Arabidopsis thaliana: one gene and its partners. The protein of the gene in region 2 purifies or fractionates together with the protein of the main gene of each other region. This does not show direct contact. Each region holds a gene or a part of one and is shown on either strand. Other genes may lie near its edges.

The links. Proteins that work in one complex are often made in the same cells at the same time.
Region 1: the proteins of DRM3 (region 2) and NRPB11 purify together in Arabidopsis thaliana (affinity purification with mass spectrometry, with the first as the bait; one study listed by BioGRID). This does not show direct contact.
Region 3: the proteins of DRM3 (region 2) and NRPD2A purify together in Arabidopsis thaliana (affinity purification with mass spectrometry, with the first as the bait; one study listed by BioGRID). This does not show direct contact.

What each region holds. Positions count from the first base shown.
Region 1 is NC_003074.8:19,317,329-19,320,965, forward strand, and holds NRPB11 (DNA-directed RNA polymerase, RBP11-like protein), read right to left. Parts: upstream 1,796-3,637; 5' UTR 1,671-1,795; coding exon 1,618-1,670; intron 1,537-1,617; coding exon 1,447-1,536; intron 1,358-1,446; coding exon 1,279-1,357; intron 1,173-1,278; coding exon 1,083-1,172; intron 995-1,082; coding exon 899-994; intron 774-898; coding exon 741-773; 3' UTR 521-740; downstream 1-520. Other genes in the region: chx28 (cation/hydrogen exchanger 28), read left to right, coding at 1-407; AT3G52100 (RING/FYVE/PHD-type zinc finger family protein), read left to right, coding at 2,015-2,046, 2,162-2,501, 2,580-2,633, 2,775-2,949, 3,028-3,077, 3,188-3,280, 3,361-3,449, 3,533-3,611.
Region 2 is NC_003074.8:5,908,422-5,915,291, forward strand, and holds DRM3 (S-adenosyl-L-methionine-dependent methyltransferases superfamily protein), read right to left. Parts: upstream 4,925-6,870; 5' UTR 4,728-4,924; exon of another isoform or gene 4,618-4,727; 5' UTR 4,536-4,617; intron 4,457-4,535; 5' UTR 4,418-4,456; coding exon 4,415-4,417; intron 4,332-4,414; coding exon 4,200-4,331; intron 4,063-4,199; coding exon 3,966-4,062; intron 3,876-3,965; coding exon 3,778-3,875; intron 3,696-3,777; coding exon 3,599-3,695; intron 3,581-3,598; exon of another isoform or gene 3,169-3,580; coding exon of another isoform or gene 3,099-3,168; coding exon 2,947-3,098; intron 2,800-2,946; coding exon 2,700-2,799; intron 2,507-2,699; coding exon 2,415-2,506; intron 2,235-2,414; coding exon 873-2,234; 3' UTR 513-872; downstream 1-512. Other genes in the region: EMB2786 (COMPLEX 1 LYR-like protein), read left to right, coding at 196-274. UniProt on the Arabidopsis thaliana protein: Catalytically inactive DNA methyltransferase that acts as regulatory factor for DRM2-mediated DNA methylation. Required for maintenance of non-CpG DNA methylation.
Region 3 is NC_003074.8:8,568,190-8,576,086, forward strand, and holds the start of NRPD2A (nuclear RNA polymerase D2A), read right to left. Parts: upstream 6,021-7,897; 5' UTR 5,823-6,020; intron 5,661-5,822; 5' UTR 5,631-5,660; coding exon 5,214-5,630; intron 4,494-5,213; coding exon 4,266-4,493; intron 3,815-4,265; coding exon 2,934-3,814; intron 2,555-2,933; coding exon 2,263-2,554; intron 2,132-2,262; coding exon 1,238-2,131; intron 1,141-1,237; coding exon 836-1,140; intron 284-835; coding exon 1-283. Other genes in the region: AAE16 (AMP-dependent synthetase and ligase family protein), read left to right, coding at 7,079-7,231, 7,544-7,735. UniProt on the Arabidopsis thaliana protein: DNA-dependent RNA polymerase catalyzes the transcription of DNA into RNA using the four ribonucleoside triphosphates as substrates.

The DNA of each region.
Region 1 (3,637 bases), about 13 Mb from region 2:
ACGCACAAAAACGAAGCAGCATCCTGAACAGAGCGAGTGTGGTAGATCAAGAGGAGGAAATGAAGCTTGATGATGAATGTTTTGCTGAGTTCTACGAAAGATACATAGCTGGAGGTGGAAGAGTGTCTTACATGGAGAAGCATCTCACCAACTCCTCTGAGACTTTCACAGCTCTTAAATCACTAGATGGAGAGTATGGGCTGGTGATTGTAGGAAGAGGAGGGGGAAGAGCGAGCAGTGGGTTAACCACCGGCCTCAACGACTGGCAGCAATGTCCAGAGCTTGGTCCCATAGGTGACGTTCTTTCAGGATCAGATTTCTCACACAACACATCAATGTTAATTATTCAGCAGCAGCGTACTCGGGGTCAGCTAGAAGGGCTTCATGATGACTTCACTATACTGTGAATATCTGTACAAATGCACTTTACTTAGTAGCTTGGGAAGAGTAGTAGCTTCACCATCACAACTCTTAAAGAGACTTTGTACAATAGTTCAAACATTAAGCGGTTTATGTAGATAGAATGGTAAAAAGAAGAGGTAATCTAAGCATTACTTCATAGCATCCTGAAATGGTGTTGAAACATAGAGTTAAAAGAAGTTACAGGCCGATTTGTTTTTGATTTATACAAAGCATAACTAGGGAAAATTTCCCAAGCTCATTATTAGTCTTGATTGGTGCTTAGCAAAAGACAATGTAAAACGTTTTCCCCGATGTGCTGATGGAGAACTCCAAGTTCCTTAAAACTGATTCGAAAACTTGGCCACCTCTGCCTGAAAACACAGAAGGGTATACCATAAGACCAGGTACATCAAACAACATCAATAGCATTTGATATTCGTCTAGCTTATTAACCACATAATCAGATAAGTATATCCGAAGAGAGAAACTTATGTACCTCAAACTGGTTCTTCAAGTAGTCGAGCTCCTTGTCCAAGTCATTGATGGCCTGGTTGTATGCTTGCATTGGGGAAGACTGGCTTGTTGTGTGAATCTACATACAGAAACCACTTTCACAATTAAACAACAACATACAAGATCTTTCTATAAGTCCTTAAGCAACCAGTAATCCCAGAGGAAACTGTTAACACTAGAAGCTTAAACCAAGAAATATTCACGGTTTCCAAACAACCATACACTACTTTTAAGTTCCTAAACCAATCTTTTGGATCCTAAGGTCAATCAATGAACTGAAAAAAACGCAGAGGATAGCATTGTTCTTTCCAATTCAAAGCAACAGGCTCTACAGTAGAAGCAACTGAAAAACTTGGAACTTACCCTCACTATGATTTTGTACTTAAGAGGATGAGGAAGTTGGTATCCAGCAAACAAGACATTCTCGTCGCGATGAAGTTGCCTAAAACAAAAATTTCAGAACAGAGCTGACAAAAATTAGGGCTTTCTTCTTTCTGAGAAAAGAGTTGCAAAATCAACAAAAAGACGTACATGCGGACAATGTTTCCAATCGTATGGTCTTCTCTCTCAACCGTGAAGGAAGCAGCATTGATGATCTTCGTATCCCTATCATAAGAAACCCTAGAACATAGAAATCGAGAGGGTTTAGCACATGTAAGAGGACTATCGAGTATGATTTCGAGTGATAGAAACTTCAATTACTTCTTGGTGCCTTCAGGGACGACGAATCGCTCATATCGTTCGGGAGCATTCATGGCTTAATCGGAGATTTCAAGCTTCGCTCTCTTTTTCGCCGCAGAGAGACAGTCAAGAGTTCTTCAGTTTCTTTCTGGCAAACAAAATATAATACGACGTCGTTTTTCATAAAAGAAAAAAGATCGAATCTCCACGTGTTATATTATTATTGGTGTATACAGTTTGGGTCGGATCGGGCCGATAAAACATAATATTTCCGTTTAAGGACCTCTAGGTTTATATTATTTACACAATAAAGGACGAGTGATTTAATTCAGAAACCTAACAAAAAATTCAGGAAAAAAAGAAAAGAAGTCAGATCCCTAAAAATCGAACCCGAAAGCGTAAAACTTGAAAACCGACTATGGCCTTTCACGTAGCTTGTCCAATTACATGGTATGTTTTTTTTTCTTTCTTTTGGCGCCTCCTTTACTCGTTGGCTTGTTTGTTTTTACTAATCGAATTGTTCTAATTTGGGGGTTTTCTTCTTTCTTTCGTTCTTTCTCCGCAGCCGGAAAATTTGCTTCTGCGTTTTGGGGTTTTCTCGGAATCTTCATGGTAATGAAGTCAAGGATGTGTATCTCAAAGAGATCCATTCTCTTCAGGAGTTCGTGCGAAACCCCTGGGATGCTGAGGTTTCCAAGGACGGTACCGTTCAGATCCATGTGCCTAAGCTTGCTGTTTTCGATACTGGTCCTCGCATTGCGGCTAGAAATGTTGGTGTTGGGAGTGATTCGGCGATGGAGGTTGTTGCTGCATCATCGAATTTGGTACCAGCTAAACGCACCTTGGTGTTGCAGAAGAAGGCTGTGGAAGTTTATGCTGCGAATGATTGTTCTGGCGACTTAGAGGTTCGAATTCTTACTTGCGAAACTTGTTTTTGTGGTTAGGGGTTACTGCTATGTCAATTGAATTGAACTTGTTTATAGGAATCTGTCTTTGTGAGAAAACGTGTTTTCAGTGATGTTGATTATCTGTATCTCGTGTATGTGTTTTGGTGTTGTCCTGTCTTTTCGGGTTCTGTAATCTATGATTTATATGTAAACTACTTGTGATTTTTTGGATGATTATGAAGTCTATTCTCGTCAAGACACTAATTCAATGTTATGTCTTTCTCTATGTAGGTTTCAGTCAAAGACCTCAATGAAGAAGATCATGATCATCACAGTGCAAGCATAACATGTCACATGTGCTATTTGGTTGAAGTTGGGAAGAGTGAGAGAGCCAAGATGCTTTCTTGCAAATGTTGTGGGAAGAAGTATCATAGAAACTGCGTGAAGTCTTGGGCCCAACATAGAGGTATTGTTTCATAGGAATCTATTGTTTATGACTTATGAGTCTTTCTGCCTAGATTCTTATACCGGTTTTTGCTAGCAGATCTTTTTAATTGGAGCTCTTGGGCGTGCCCATCTTGCCGAATCTGTGAGGTATGTTCGGACACAACTTTGTGCTCAATGATTATTCTTGCTCTTTACATGCTGGGCTAGGTATGACTGCTGCTTGATTATTTGTATTCTTTTGATCATTTTTCCTTTAGGGCTGCGGGACTTTAGGGGATCCAAAAAAGTTTATGTTCTGCAAAAGATGTGATGATGCATATCATTGTGATTGCCAACATCCTCGGCACAAGGTATAGTATTTATTGCGTCTGTATAAGGTTCTTATCTTATCTTTTGCAAATTGGTTTATTTTAATCTCTGAATATTACAGAATGTTAGTTCTGGACCCTATTTGTGTCCTAAGCACACCAAATGTTACAGTTGTGAGTCTACAGTCCCTGGGAATGGCCAGAGCTTACGGTATTTAACTTTTTGCCTTGTGATACTTGAAATTTATTCATGTAAAGTGCACTATCTCTTATTATTCCTTCTAAACTTTGCAGGTGGTTTTTGGGGCATACTTGTTGTGATGCTTGTGGAAGGTTGTTTGTTAAGGGGAATTATTGTCCTGTATGTTTGAAGGTATATTTACATATTCTCCTCCTCGG
Region 2 (6,870 bases):
AAACCTTATAATTAGATCAGATGTAAAACTTGTTCGTTGAGGCATGTTTCTGCAAAAGATGATGTTTCACACAAACACACACATATACAGCTGCTTGAGATCATATATTACAGAATACTCTTGGGATAAGTATGTTGTATACATCTATTTGAAAAGTTTGGAAAGACTCAAACTTCTCTGGTACTGTATATGTAGTGCTGCTCGGGGACTCATCAATCACATGTTGTTTGAGTCAGCGAAGCTGACAGGAGGCAAGGTTAGCCAGAGATCCTGATGCAGTCTGGTTGCAGACTCTCCCATTGTTATTCTCTCTCTATCTCTCTAGTCAATGCTTGTAGGCTAACAATGCAACTAAGTTGGCTTGAATAATAGACTTGATCGAGAAGCCTCAGTGACTCAACATTGAGGATTTTCCTGTGCAATCAATCAAGTGGTTCTCTATTTCAAATCTAATCATACAGTTTTTTTTTTACTCTGGCTTAGATTTGTTTATATTTTGGATTAGACACTTCAGAAGTTCAGATCATTTCCAGTTACTTTTGACGTAAGATGAGTATGAATTATGCAATCAACAACATTGAGCTAAAAAAAGTGCTAATATTATACATAATTGTGAACAGTACACAACAACATTGACCGCATGATTCACTGCTTATCTCTCCGAGAAGTAACATAGCAAAAAAATAAAAAAGACGATATTCCACGCTTCTATGAAGATTATGGTACAGACTGATTCATTAAAGCATCAACTGCAAAACAAGAAAAACAGTTCCGTAATTGAAAGTCTCCACGATAAAGAAAATGGAAGACTCCTTCTGAGATTAGACAAGTCTCCAGGTTCTTGAGGACGTAAAGGCTCTTGGTCAACTTCACTACATCATATCTCTGACACGTTTCGTGACACGAGCAAACTCGTTAAACAACGTATAATCAAATTCACAGGCTTCACTATTTGAGATTTCTTTAGAGAGATCAAGTGGTGTTGATGGGTTCTGGCAAATGACAAAGTCAAATCCTCCAAATCTCTGCATCAGAGTCTCCAGCCTCTTTGCCGTTAAGCTTTTGATTTCTTCAATTTGCACTAGCTCACCGGTTTGTCCCGAAGTCTGCCACCATCTTTTCAGTATGTTACGGCTCAATCCACAGGACTCTACAGAGACTACGCCTTTTAGATGGATTCCAAGACGGTCCAATGCAATTTCCGCACCACCAATCCCGCTAAAGAGTGATAAAACTGTTAAACCTTGGGGAAACATAGACTTGAGTACAGAGAGATGGTAACCCAATGTGTCTGTTTGGAAGCAGTAATCAAACAACTTCAATCTTTCAGCCAACCTTCCACCACCGATGTTTGTGTGGTTCATTGGATATCCCATAATGCACTCTAAATGTTCAGGCTCCAAGGGTGAGAGGATGTTTGGTGCTATCCAAATGAGATTGGAGGTGTGACAATGTCGAAGTATTAAAGTCTGGTCCTGTTGAGTAGGCTTTCCCTTGCATTCAGCTATACGGCGACCAATTCGTTCACAGAGAAGAGTTGCATCTTTCATATTAGAACACGTGCCGCTATTGAAATGCTTTCTGATATCCCATTGTGGCCACCAACTCCTCATGTGTGGCATTGCGTCTTGTATAGTTAATCGAGGGTTCGGGAGGGTATTAAACCTGTTAACAGTGGGAAGATTGTGCAGGTACCCTTCTGTCCTACGGAGCGCTGAACACAACCGAGTATCTACATGTTCGGGGTGAATTCCGAACAAGAAACCCGAGATCTTCGACCACCAGCTAGGAGAAAGTTCACCTAACTGTCCATAGAAGAAATAAGGTCGTCTGGCTACTTTTGGACCAAGACTCTGGGACAAACGTGGCTGCATTACACTGGGAAATTCATATGTGTTATCTTTCCACTCATCTTGCATCCATGGGGTTTCCATAAACGAACTTGAGTCACCCATATCTTCGGGCCTTAACCGTTTTCCTCTGTCATCGTAGCCAGTGTATTCTTCTGGATAGGCATTCTCATCCTCATCTTTTGGTCGCTTACCTCTCGAGGTCTCTCCCACATTGTCAGTGGCAGGGAAAGGAAAAGACTCAATACCAGGATCTGGTTTTATATTAGCAGTGCCACTCGACGAACCCCCACCACCATCCTCTTTCTGAGCACCAACCCCAACAAATCTCCAACTCTTTGAAAGACATGTACGATTCACTGCAGGAGCAGCCGCTGAAACTTTCTACAGTGACACCAAATATCATTGAGTTAAACTCCAACAATATCTTAGTTTAATTAAGAGAAGAGTGTGAGATGGTTTAGGTGCAGTAGCAGCAGCAAAAGCTCTAGTTTCAGCACTTCACTTTACAAGTGCATCATTGGAGGTCGAGTAAAAATTAATTAAAAACATTAGTGTACATACCTTTTCTATATCTTCAAGGTCATCATGGCATTCCGCAGGAAATTCACCAGTAACAATTGACTCAGCAAGGACAGAAATCTGACCTTTTGTACCTGAAGAGGTGCAAAATAGATTATATACCAGTACAACAGGACGGGCTGCAAAACAAATGATAGGATTTCTTTCACCCTAAAAGTATCATAATCACCCCCGACAACATAAACAAGATACGTTTCATGTCTACATTTTTTTCTTTCAGACATATAACAGTCATGGGATGAACAGATAAGTGCCTCAGTTGCTCACCTATCTTCTCAATTGCCATTGAAATTTCATCATTAGAGAATCCCATTTCCAGTAAACGCAAAGTCTTGTCCATTGTTTCAAACAATTGTTCATTGGGAACCTGAATTTAAAACACAAAACAAAGGTTAGAGGTAATAAAGGTAATAACAACATGAACAACACAGAATGAACACAAAAGAAAGGTAGTGGAATCTACAAAAGCATTGACAATAAAATCAACAGCTAATGTCAAAAAAGCACCAAAGACCTCAGGTCCTCGAGCAGTAACTGGAGTGACATCTTCATCTTCTTCATTGATCTCAGCACCATCAAGTGAATCTTCGGATTCCTCCGCATACTTTTCAGCTAATTGAGCAGCAACAATGAAGTCCACCATCTCATCAATTGGTGTGTCTTTACCTATCACACAGAACAAACAATCATGAAGAAAGGATTTGGGGATAGGCCAAATGATAGCTGCTATCTGCATGCTAAGTTTCTATATAGCTTTGAATAGTATAAGTATCAATTTTTTAGAAACTATTTACAAGTTTCTAATACGGTCACAGGGAATGGATTTTCCACTTTAACATTAATAAACAACAGCTTCATAAATGTTATTTCTCTTTTCAGAGAGTTATAATATACTATAAGCCTCCTTAGTTTGCCTATATTAAATGTCATACAATCAGAAGTTCCAGTATGAAGAGATGGTTAATCTATAAGAAGACAAAGAAAAAATATCGTGCAATAGTGAGAAATTGGTCTTGCAATGTACACGAGGTCTAATCACTCAAAAAATAACCTGAAAAGAAGAAATTCTAATATGTTAAACCATGAATAGACACGGACAAAAAGGTGTAACTTTGTAACATGTTTGAATTTTGAATGCAAAGCCAAAGACATTGTGAATACATTACCAAGCCTATCCAGTGCAAAGTCAACAAGATTTTCTGGAAACTTCATAGTTAGTAACGCAATCCTTATACGGTCAGTTTCGTATTCAATATCAGGTTCCTGTCAAAGAAAAGCAAGAAACATTAAGAAATTACACAGAATGAAAGACAAGACATGTGGGATCACACATTATGCGCTTTACCGGTTTGGGTTCCATTAGCCCATGAAAGCTAGGTCCAGGAGGTTCTGTTTCAGTACTCTTAGTGAGAATCTCTAATAGCAACTCAAAATCATCTTGACCTGGATGCGAAGAGGCAAACTCAGTAATCATATATACCCCAAATGAAAGTTAGCATGCATGGTAGTTTTTTACAGGAAACTGAAGAATACCATTTTCGTCAATTGCTTTCTGAACAAGAGTTGGGCAAAATCCCATCTCAATCAGCAATGACTTAACATTACTTCCAGAAGAACTAGCAGCATTGTCCTGCACATCAAGTATGAAACAATAAGAACCTTTCTAAACCACTACTTGTTCTAAACAGTAAAATGTAGACACAGTGGATGTTTAAGAATCTTAGCCACTTATGTCCTTTATGGTATAGAAAGGGTAACAAAACATACACCAATCTGCTGAGGGAAAGAGGTGTCGCAGGGCAAATCAAAGTCCAAGGTCTCTGGTTTTGGAAACAGTATCTGCTCATTCCTTTCATGATTAGAGGAACCTCCACTTCCATTTCGTCTACGCATATCAGCCTGCAAGATTCCAGAAAAACTTATGAAAAACATGCAACACAAAAAACAAAAGATAACATTCCCAAAGTAGCCAAATTCCATACCATTTGAATTAAAATTCACACACAAAATCTCACATGAAAGCCCTGCAGATAGATACCAGAGAGATTATGTCAGTGTCCCCAAATAACACAAAAGATGAACTTTAAATGGAAAAGAATTAACCTCATTGATGTTGATTTTATCCCATAAACGGCAAGGGAGAAGATGGAATCAATAAAGCCCCAAAAATAGAACACTCCTCGAACTAAGAGATGAAACCAACCACGAGTGACACTTAAAAAAGCAATTCCGAAAAATCACACAAATTCCAGAGATTGCGACAAAGAGAGCGAGAGAGAGGAAGACGGTGCATGCCTGTGCAGTGGTCCGCGTCTCACCCAATCGAGCCCAGTGCGGAGGAGGAGAAGCTAAAAAGTTATGAAGTTGATCGCAATGTTGCGCGCCGCGTGGACTACACTGCCGAGACTAATTCGGAATTTTATTGATTCCCTTTGAGCAGTCCGGTAGATCGAGCGCGTGAGGAAAAAACGAACGGTCCAGATCATAGAGTTTGGAACTTCGACCAACTTTCTATTACAACTATGTTGTAGTTCTGTTTTAATATTTCAAGTTTTTAGAATTTTAAATTTATGTTTCAGATGCTAAAATTTGTATACACTAAAAACATCATTTACCAAAACTTGATGAAAAACGAAAGAAACTACTCTCAATTCCCAAGCTTTGAGAAAGATTAAATTTTGCAAAGATAATTAATAGATTTCGAGCTATTTCTCGACAAAGATTATGTTTTTTTGGCCCAGTTTTGTTTAGTTTGTAACAAATTGGAGCACCGAGGTTATGTGACCCAAATGTACGTAGACTAGTCGAGGCCAATGTATATATAGTACTACTATTGTACCTGAAAGATGATCAAACAAATTAATAAGTTGAGTGATTGGTTCTGTTAATGCAAGATTTTTTTTACTAATCTTCATCAAAGAACATGGCAAAATAAACAAAGCAAGAACTACGCCTGAAACAATCTATAGATTTTGTAAATGGACTAATTAATGACATGGTTTCTTCCTTTGCTTCGTGCATGGTGTAGGTTGCTAGATTTGCACTGAATTAATGACATGGTTTACATTTCTGCTTTATAGATTCAACGTTGTCGTCTTTGTGAATTCCGTCTAGATTGACGCTCATCAGATAAACCCTATATTTCAAAATCATGATCGCATGAAACTCCTTCACTTGTTTCTTCTATGCTTTGTTGCCTGGTTGGAATATTGAGAGAAAGAAGAAATAAGGTAAGAGGTACGAGATAATATCTCTTCTCCTTAGAGACAACAACAGAACAAAACAGAAAATGTTTTATTGAACTGAAACTTGTTAATATTTACATGACAATACAATATTAAGTTTATATAAAAAAAAAAACAAATAGACACAACAACCCAATTAGTTGTGTCTCTTTTTACTTGTGCCCTTTGAGTGAAACAACACAAACTTACAACCGTTAGCTGAAAACTCAATTACGGACCAACACTCCCCCTTAATTGAGCTTCGCTCTTCCACTTAGCTCCCTTCTCAGTTTGTCACAACTTTCGGCTTCAAACTCTTTAGTAGTAGCATCACACTTCCCCCAAATAGTCTTACCCAATTCGTAACACTTCTTATCATGATCTTTAGTAAAGTCACCACTTTTCTTTTTCTCAATCTACTTTCTCAAATTTCTCTCTCGTTTCAACAAATCCGATAGTGAAGAAGAAATCTCAGCCTTTGTTTACTCCATCGACGGCGAAGAAATCACCGGAGATGCGACTCCCAACGGTTTCTTTGAAGTGGATGCGACATCCGACGATTTCTTCGCCGTTGAGAAAAAGAAAAGTGGTGACTAAACTAAAAATCATGATAAGAAGTGTTACGAATTGGCTAAGACTGTTTGGGGAAGTGATGGTGATGCTGCTACTCTTGTGAAGCCAGAGAGTTTGAAGCATGCTTCTGTTTTTGCCTGGCCGTAACCCTAGAGAGCACCTCCTCTGCCAAATCCAGAGGAAGATCCGAAATATCTTCGTCATTGTTTCAATAAATAGTAATTAGGGTTTTACTTCCACACCTTTAGTCTTTTTTATAAAGGAATTAGTTATAAATTAGGTTACCGCCTTTGTGTCCGGGCCCAAGGAGACTACACAACGGGCCTCGATAAGAAAACCCTCATTTGTGAACGATGACAACATAGGATCATAACTATCGTTTCATAGGCAATTCTATAAGCCATGTGTGTAGTTCACTCAAAATATGTATGAACACTTTGTCTTTATCAAAACAGTGCGACTTTTAACAAGATAAAACATGAAACGATGTAAACATGTAAATTCTTCAAATGTGAAATCAATCCATATCTTATCAAATTGATTCATACACACACACAAAGTTTGCCTAATACTCAATGATGAGTGGTTCTCATAAATTCATAGACTCATAGTCATATAAAAACGTGGTTCTCATAATCATA
Region 3 (7,897 bases), 2.7 Mb from region 2:
ACTTAGAGTGAAGAGACGCTCATGCAGATTAGCTGATGCACCGTGAGCTATTAGGCAGTCTCGCTCCATTTCTCCAAATTTTATCCCGCCAAATCTCTTCCTGTCTGCAACTGGCTGGCGTGTGAGCGGGTGGACTGGTCCAGTGTTCCTGAACTTGACTTTGTCCTCTGACATGTGGACAAGTCGCTGGTAGAAAGTTGGGCCCATGAATATCATAGAACGCATCATCTCACCTGATCTACCGTTGTAGACCCTTTCGTTTCCCCATCTTGAAAAGCCGGCCCTAATCACAAATATTTACCATTGGTAATGAATCAGGACTCAAGAATCAACAATAATCTAAGAAAGGTTAAATGAATTATACATAGATCACAAGGCTCACAGCATCAATCCTCTAACTAATTATATACTGGTACATGACTCTTGAGCCTATTTTTCTGTATTCTCTAGACGTTTTTCAGGCACAATACAAGAAATTAATCAACCATAGAACATTGAACTTCTTAGTTTTTTAGTCTTACAGAGACAGATAACTCATGCTCACTTCTAGTACTCCTAGAAAACAAAATAAAGATCCACTATGACATGTTTCAAGTAAGGTGCTCAAATCTAGCTTAGTGCCTTGTGCAGTATATTAGCTCAATCAACTTTTGGAAATTCTGTAGCCAAAGTCTCCAAGTTTAAACATCTTCAACGAGGAAATATTATCAATAATATGTTCCTGCCCTTAATGATATCATCTATTTGTATAGGAAGCAAATGTAAATCTGTTATAGCATATAATTTTATATTCTGTTTTACGAGCTAAAACCAAGAGACAATGTGAAGAATGTACCTGTGAAGCTGCTCGGTGATTTCAGTGACACCCGGAGTGGAGAAAGGAGTGGCATGACGTGTCAATTTGGTGTATGCAGCAGAGCTACCCTCCTTTTGTATAGGACAAGCGATTCCTTTGGAGAGAGCAGCCTCCAAGAGTTGACCTGGTGTTTGCCTAGAAGGGAAAGCGTGCGGGTTTATCACAATATCAGGAACTATGCCTTGGATCGTGAAAGGAAAATTCTGCTGTTCCTCTAGGTAGCCTAAAACACCCTTCTGGCCATGCATACTGGAAAACTTATCTCCAAGGCATGGAGAACGAACCTGTAAGATGTAAAAGCCAATCAATGGAACATTCGATTCATACATAGGAATGCATTCTCTGAAAAAACAGCTCGATTTAGTATGATCTGGAACTTACCTGTCTCAGAGAAACCGCAGCAAAATTCTTCCCTTCATCATTAGATGATAATACCACTTTTTGCACAATTCCTCTCTCAGTGTGCTTGAGCTTTATACTGTGATCAGCCCCAGACTCGGTGCATCTGCCAATGACAATATCGCCAGTACTCATGTTAGCACCAATGAAAGGAAACCCGTCATCTTCAAGGCTGTCTACTTTGCCGATTTTGCTGTGTGTCTTTCCAAACTGAACAAGCTCATCCATCTTCTTCCTCTTCTCTGAGTCTTTAGCATCAACCTCTGCTTTGTAGCTTCTAATCTGCTCTGAACGGAACATACCACGTTCCAATGAAGCCTTGTTCATCACAATGGAATCCTCTTGGTTGTACCCGAGATGAACATTCACAGCAACAATTGCGTTCTGGCCATTGAACAGCACTTCTTTTTTAAGACACTCCGACGCCAATGTCTTGAACAGTGGCTTCTGAGGATAGAACAGCTGCTGGGACAGCGTATCGCAGCGGATGTTAGGGTTCGTTGATGAGAATCCAATGGCTTGTTGGCAGTGCTTCTGGGACTGGTAGAGAACTCTTCTCCCATGGTCGTGATTTGCAAATGGGACAACTGCACAGCTCACACCCAACAAGAATGACAGGTCCAATTCGCAATGTGTGTATATCTTTGGTTCCTTCAGAAGCTGTTTGATTCCCCATGCTGTATTACAGTCTTCTTCTTCCTCAATCCCGATCAGCTCGAGAATCCCATGGTCAAGAAGATGGTCAAAAGGATACTGTGAAGGTTTTTCTTGCTTCAACTTTTGGAGATTTTCCACAACCAAGAGAGGTCGGAGTAGTCTACCAGCATCAGTGAAAATTCTTACCTCATTGTCATCTTTATCTCGCTTGATTTCCATCTGCAGAGAACGTTTCATATATATAAACAATATTCGACATAGACACATCTGAAGCAGAAAAATCCAAAGCAAATACCAAGTAACACAAGAATATCAAAATATAGCAAGAGATTTGCTGAAACAGAAGATACCTCACGAGGTAATTCACTTTGGCGCCGCCTGCTTTTTAACTCCGCGACAAAGGATTCAGAATCTGCACATAATCCAACCCAGTCTCCATTGAGAAGAACTTTATGTTTGCCAAACAATGGTGTGCATGTATCATCCATCAGCTCTTCCATTCCACAAGCGAAGAGCTTTTCCACCACAGACTCCAAACTTTGGGTGCTCACAAGTCCCAGAAGAGACATGTTCTTCACAAGACCACAATTTTCACCGTCTGGAGTTGACAAAAAGCATACTCTGCCCCAGTGAGAGGGGTGCCTGTGGCCAACATTACAAACAATGCAGCTATAGTTCAGTTTCCCAACACGATTTAATTGTCTAACCGCTCACATTGAAAAGGAACCAAAATGGATAATCTCAAGAGTTCAACAGATAGATTGACCAAGGGAGAAAGAAACAAGAAAGACAGTATCAGAGTTTTTTAATAGCAGTAACATCTATACAAAATAAGTATTATACACAGACAAGAGACTGCAGAAACAGTGATCGGCATCATATACTACATTGAATTAAAGTTATTACGAATATCTTTAAAACAGTCTGAAGACATGTAAAATGGAGTAAATGCAGACCAGACCAGTAAGTTAAAATACGTGAGATATATTTAAATATACCAGAGGAGGTGGAATTCACTTACGGATATCTAGCATCTCCAACCTTGCCGGTATATAAGACTTGCTGTCGCGTTCTCCTCAGATCAATCAGAGTCTGCAATGGATTTGCACGACCCAAATTAGCCACAACACCTGAAACCCTTTCCATCTTCCTGAAAGGATGAGACCATGCTCCAGTAGAGAAGGCTCTACTAAGCCCATTTGTGATAACAGAAGCATCCAAATAATGCTCAATAGGCTTCAAATCACCATCGCCTGAGAGGTGTTTCTGCATGGCCCTGGTCATCTTTCTTCTAGCATGTGCCAGATGCACCCTTATCTCCCTCTCCAATAGTTCTCCAGCGAGCTCAATTCGCTTATTCCGGAAACTGTCCCTGTTTTCGCATTTTCTTTTTCCCGCATACGAGTTCAGAAGGCACTTCACCATATAGCCCAGGAATCGAGCTTTCTTCTTCAAACTTTGGAGGCCTGGAAACAAATACAGATGGAGGCACTCATCCACACTTTCAGCAGGAGGGAATTTGGTGCTTTTGATCTGCTGTTCAACATATGTTAAAGCATTGTTCCCACAGCGAAAAGCTTCACAAACTGCATCAGCTACATGGATAGAAGCTATGAGACTGTTGGTAATGCTTGCATCATCACCATCAAAAGCAATTAGATCCATGGCTTCTTTGTCTGACGAAACACCTAGCGCAAAGAAGAGGAGCCAGACTGGAATCTCAGTCGACAAGAAGTACACTGTCAGTACTTTCTCCCTTCTCTTATAGTCTTCTGCTTTCTCATTCTCCGAGAGGCGCACAATGAATCTATTTCTTTTATTTTCGGACCTGAAGGAGACTGTCCATGGTGAATTAGAAATCCACAGTCTCTTTGTGCACATCTGTTCTTGAGCTATAAACACCTGCAAAACAATATAATAACGTTAGGGAGAAGTATAACAACTTGAAAATATTTTTTCCAGAATATATTAGAGTCAAATCATCTGTCCCAGAGCCTAAGATTGCAAAGAACGCTTCCTGTAAGATTTGAATACTCATGGCCTCATGGTCAAGCCAGAAAGGAAAGAAAAAGTTTATATCTTTGATGCTAACGAAGTATACAAAGTCATAAATAAGTTAAGTTTCTTAATTTCTTACTTCATCTCCATTAGGAAAATAAAATGAACCAAATAGGTTATTGTCTAATTTGTAACATCTTTTTGCTGATAAACACTATTATCTGATGATAGAAAATTGTAACTATAATCCGTTTTATGGATTGCTGACAAACAAAATCCGTTTTGGCATAGAAAATAAAGTTATTGTACGTATTGAATGGCAATATGCATATATGTATGTATTAGTTAAACTCACCTTCTCAGCCCCCTTTATCACGAAATATCCACCCTGATCAAAGGCACAATCCCCCTTTTTGCAGTTTTCTTTCCCTTTCTCGCTTGTTTTGCAAAGGATAGATTTCACCATGACAGGAATGCTACCAATTAGAATGTCCTGCTTTTTGACATCCAGTATCTTCTTCTCGACATAGTTGTCTTGTCCTGTCTTGAATTTGTCGCTTTTAACAACAGTATTCTTGAACACCTAGTCAATTTATAGAGTGAAGAAGCAGTTAGACAATAAACTACATTTATAAGAATAAGATACATGGACAGCAAAACAGAAACATCATCAAAAGTTTGACAGTACAAGAGTCATTGCACACAAGCATAAAACACTCAAACTAAAGCACAGTGAGGCAGTGGGGAAGAACTAAATAAAAAAAAAAGCTGAAGATGTTTTTCTTTTATTGCATCCAAACTTTAAAATGAAACAAACTAAAGCTTATTTCGTTTGAATACCCACCACTACAAGGAAAAGTAATCACAATTCAAATTTTAAACAAGAAACATCTAAAGATTGGGAGCAGACAAAATCATCAATCTTAAACACAACCAAGCTTGAAATACACCTCTACTTCACACGAACATGTAACTGTAATAAATCTCTTTTACTAGATATTTTGCTCAGGTAAGAAATCCAGCGAATGCAAATAAGGAACCAAATCCAATTACAGAAAACTTGTAAAGCCAAAAAGAGTGAAACCAGTTTCAGACAAATATGTTCCTTAACCCTTAGTAAATTATTTGATGGCAAGTTAAATTGAGAAATCTATGACAGGAACCTCAGTGTATGTCAACATCTTCATATATGTGTCAGAAAGAGTCTAGTAGAAACATCAAGAAATAAGCTTATACCATGTGTTCTTTATCATTCATCAAATCCAGACAAGGTTACTTAATTTCGACAAAGAATTTCTGTTACCTCAACTTGGACATTGACTTTGATCCTTGCAGAGTATGTCATGTTCTGAAGCCTAGCATGCCATGGGAGAAACTCAAGCTCCTTGTCATCCGAAAAGAAAGTAGGCTTCTCCACAGTGACTTCTCCGAACTTCACCGTTGCGTATCTCCAATCATTATCCTTCTTCTTTACAACATCAAAAGACGGTTCCACAAGCATCTCACCAAAGGATTGAAACACATTCTGAAGCCCGTGTTCAATGAAGTAGTTGTAGGAGTTGAGCTGATGACTTATAAGTCCATACTTATCAAAGAAAGAAGTTGCAGCTTTTTTGCAGAAACTCTGCAGAAAACCTTCTCCTAGCTCAGATAGATTGATCTCCCCAGTAGTAGCCTCGAACTCTTCAAGATCCTTCACATCAATGTCCATATCTGGCATACCTCAAAACACACTGTACGAACAAAAACCCTAAACAAAGACAGAGAAATTGATTAAAAAGCTGTGAAAATCATGAACCACGAAAATGCAATCATGCGAATACAAACACGAAATCAACAACTTTCCCTTAGAACCGAATCATTCTCCATAACATATTCTCCGATGCTTAAAAGCAGAATCAAAGCGTATTACCTAAAATAGGTACCTTGATTGCTTAAAGCTGGCACGATGGAGTAAAACGGCGGTGTCGGAGGAGTGCAGAGTAAACGTCGCCGGAAAATCGCTGAGAATGCGGAGAGATTCGACGTAGAAAACCCTTGGCACACTTTTTCAGTGGTTAAGCGAAGCAGTCAAAGAGAAGTGAAGAAATTGACGTCACTAGTACTAGTAGACAATATTATTAAATTTTGCTCTTTGGTATCTATATTTTTATGTTTAAGTTTTATTTTATTTTTATTTTAAAGTGAAAAGGAAATATATTTAGAAGTTCACATGACATAAAATTTGTAACATCTTTTTTTTTTTCCAAAATTTGTAACATCTACATTTTGGTTTTTACATCTAATTCGATTTGGTTGTTTGGTTTAATAAATTTCATATATAACTTAATTTTGACCAAAACACAAAGAAAAAAAACAACACATAATTCACTAAAAAAGCTCAGAGCAATCCCAATGGTTTAAAATCAATTAATTTTTAATTTTGGATCTTAAGCTTATTTTAAATTAAAATGTTGTTTTTACTAAGTTAAGAAAAGTTAGGAAGAAGTTTAACCAATTTCTACTTCAATGGTTAAGAACGATTAGAATTTTAAGAAACAACAAACTATTTCAACACAATGTCTACCCACTCAAAACACAACACATATGCTTTTCTTAGTTTTAAGAAAATATCTTAATAAAGATGTTTTTGTTTAACCAAAAAAAATAAAATAAAGATGTTTTTTTTTTTGGTGAGTGACGGAGAGGCTTAATAAAGATGTTTATCTTAGCTAAAGTTTATTGGTTTCATTAAATTTAATCACTTTTATACCTAAAAATTAGCTAAGATACAAAGTTGGGGTTGCTCCTACAGTTTAGAAATAATCATCAAATAGTTACCAAATTTGGGACATCATAATTATGGGTAGTTTGATTTATTAGGTTAAATCTGATCTAATTATAGAAATATAATATATAAGTAAATAAAAAGTTATTATATAAGTGTAAGTATTGAGCTCTGTTTTTTGTTTTATTATCTCTGAGAGTCTGAAGAAGCCATGCTTCTGTAGCGGTGCCAACCAACTTGGAACTGATCTTTCCTGTGAAAAATCGTAATCATGACATCGACCTACTTTCTCGTCTCTTTCTTTCTACCTTTCTTTGCTTCTTCATCTTTCTCTCTTTCTCCTCTCATATATTCTCTCTATGCAAGCAACTTCATCACGATAACCTCTTATCTCCTCAGCCATGGCTTCAACGTCTCTCGGAGCTTCGATTCTCGTTTCTCACTGCTCCTCAGCTCCTGAATTTCAAGTTTCTGGGATGAGATTGGTGTTTGGTTACAAGGCTTTTGGCTGCAGAACTTCACGCAGGGGATTTCGAGTTCGCTGCGAATCCAAGGCGAGTTCCTTTTTGGTTTGTGGACTTAAAAAATTGCTCCTTTCACTTTGATTTTTGAAGTAAGTAATCTAAAGAAATGAATTGACTTTGGGGAAGGTTCAAGTTTAGCTGTTGCACCAAAATAGACAACGAGTGGCTCTGACTTCTGAGTCTTATTAGTTTAGGATACTTGTCTTATGAAAGCTGAATTGCTTCTGATGACCAGGGTTTAAACAGCTTGATCCTGAAAGGCTTTTATAGGGTTCTTGTAAGTTTACCTTATGGTTCATTTCCTGAATTATATGTAACATCAATTGTGTACCGTTCTTATAGATTCAGGAGAAGGAGTTAAGGCGGTGTTCGCCATTCTTAGAACGCTTATCATTGCCAAGGGAGGCTGCTTTGAGCTCTAATGAATGGAAGTCTGTTCCTGATATTTGGAGATCATCTGTGGAGAAGTACGGTGACAGAGTTGCGGTGGTAGATCCGTATCATGACCCGCCTTCTACATTCACGTACAGACAGGTAACACTACTTCGCATCTCATTGCTATTATTTTAGATCCCCACACTTTTGAAATAGAGGTTTTTAAAGCAAATGACAGAACTTAGGGAAAAAACTGAAGTTTAAGAGTTAAGATTGATTGGCCATCAGCTTTTTTTCTTTATCGATTAGTTTTGTATCTAC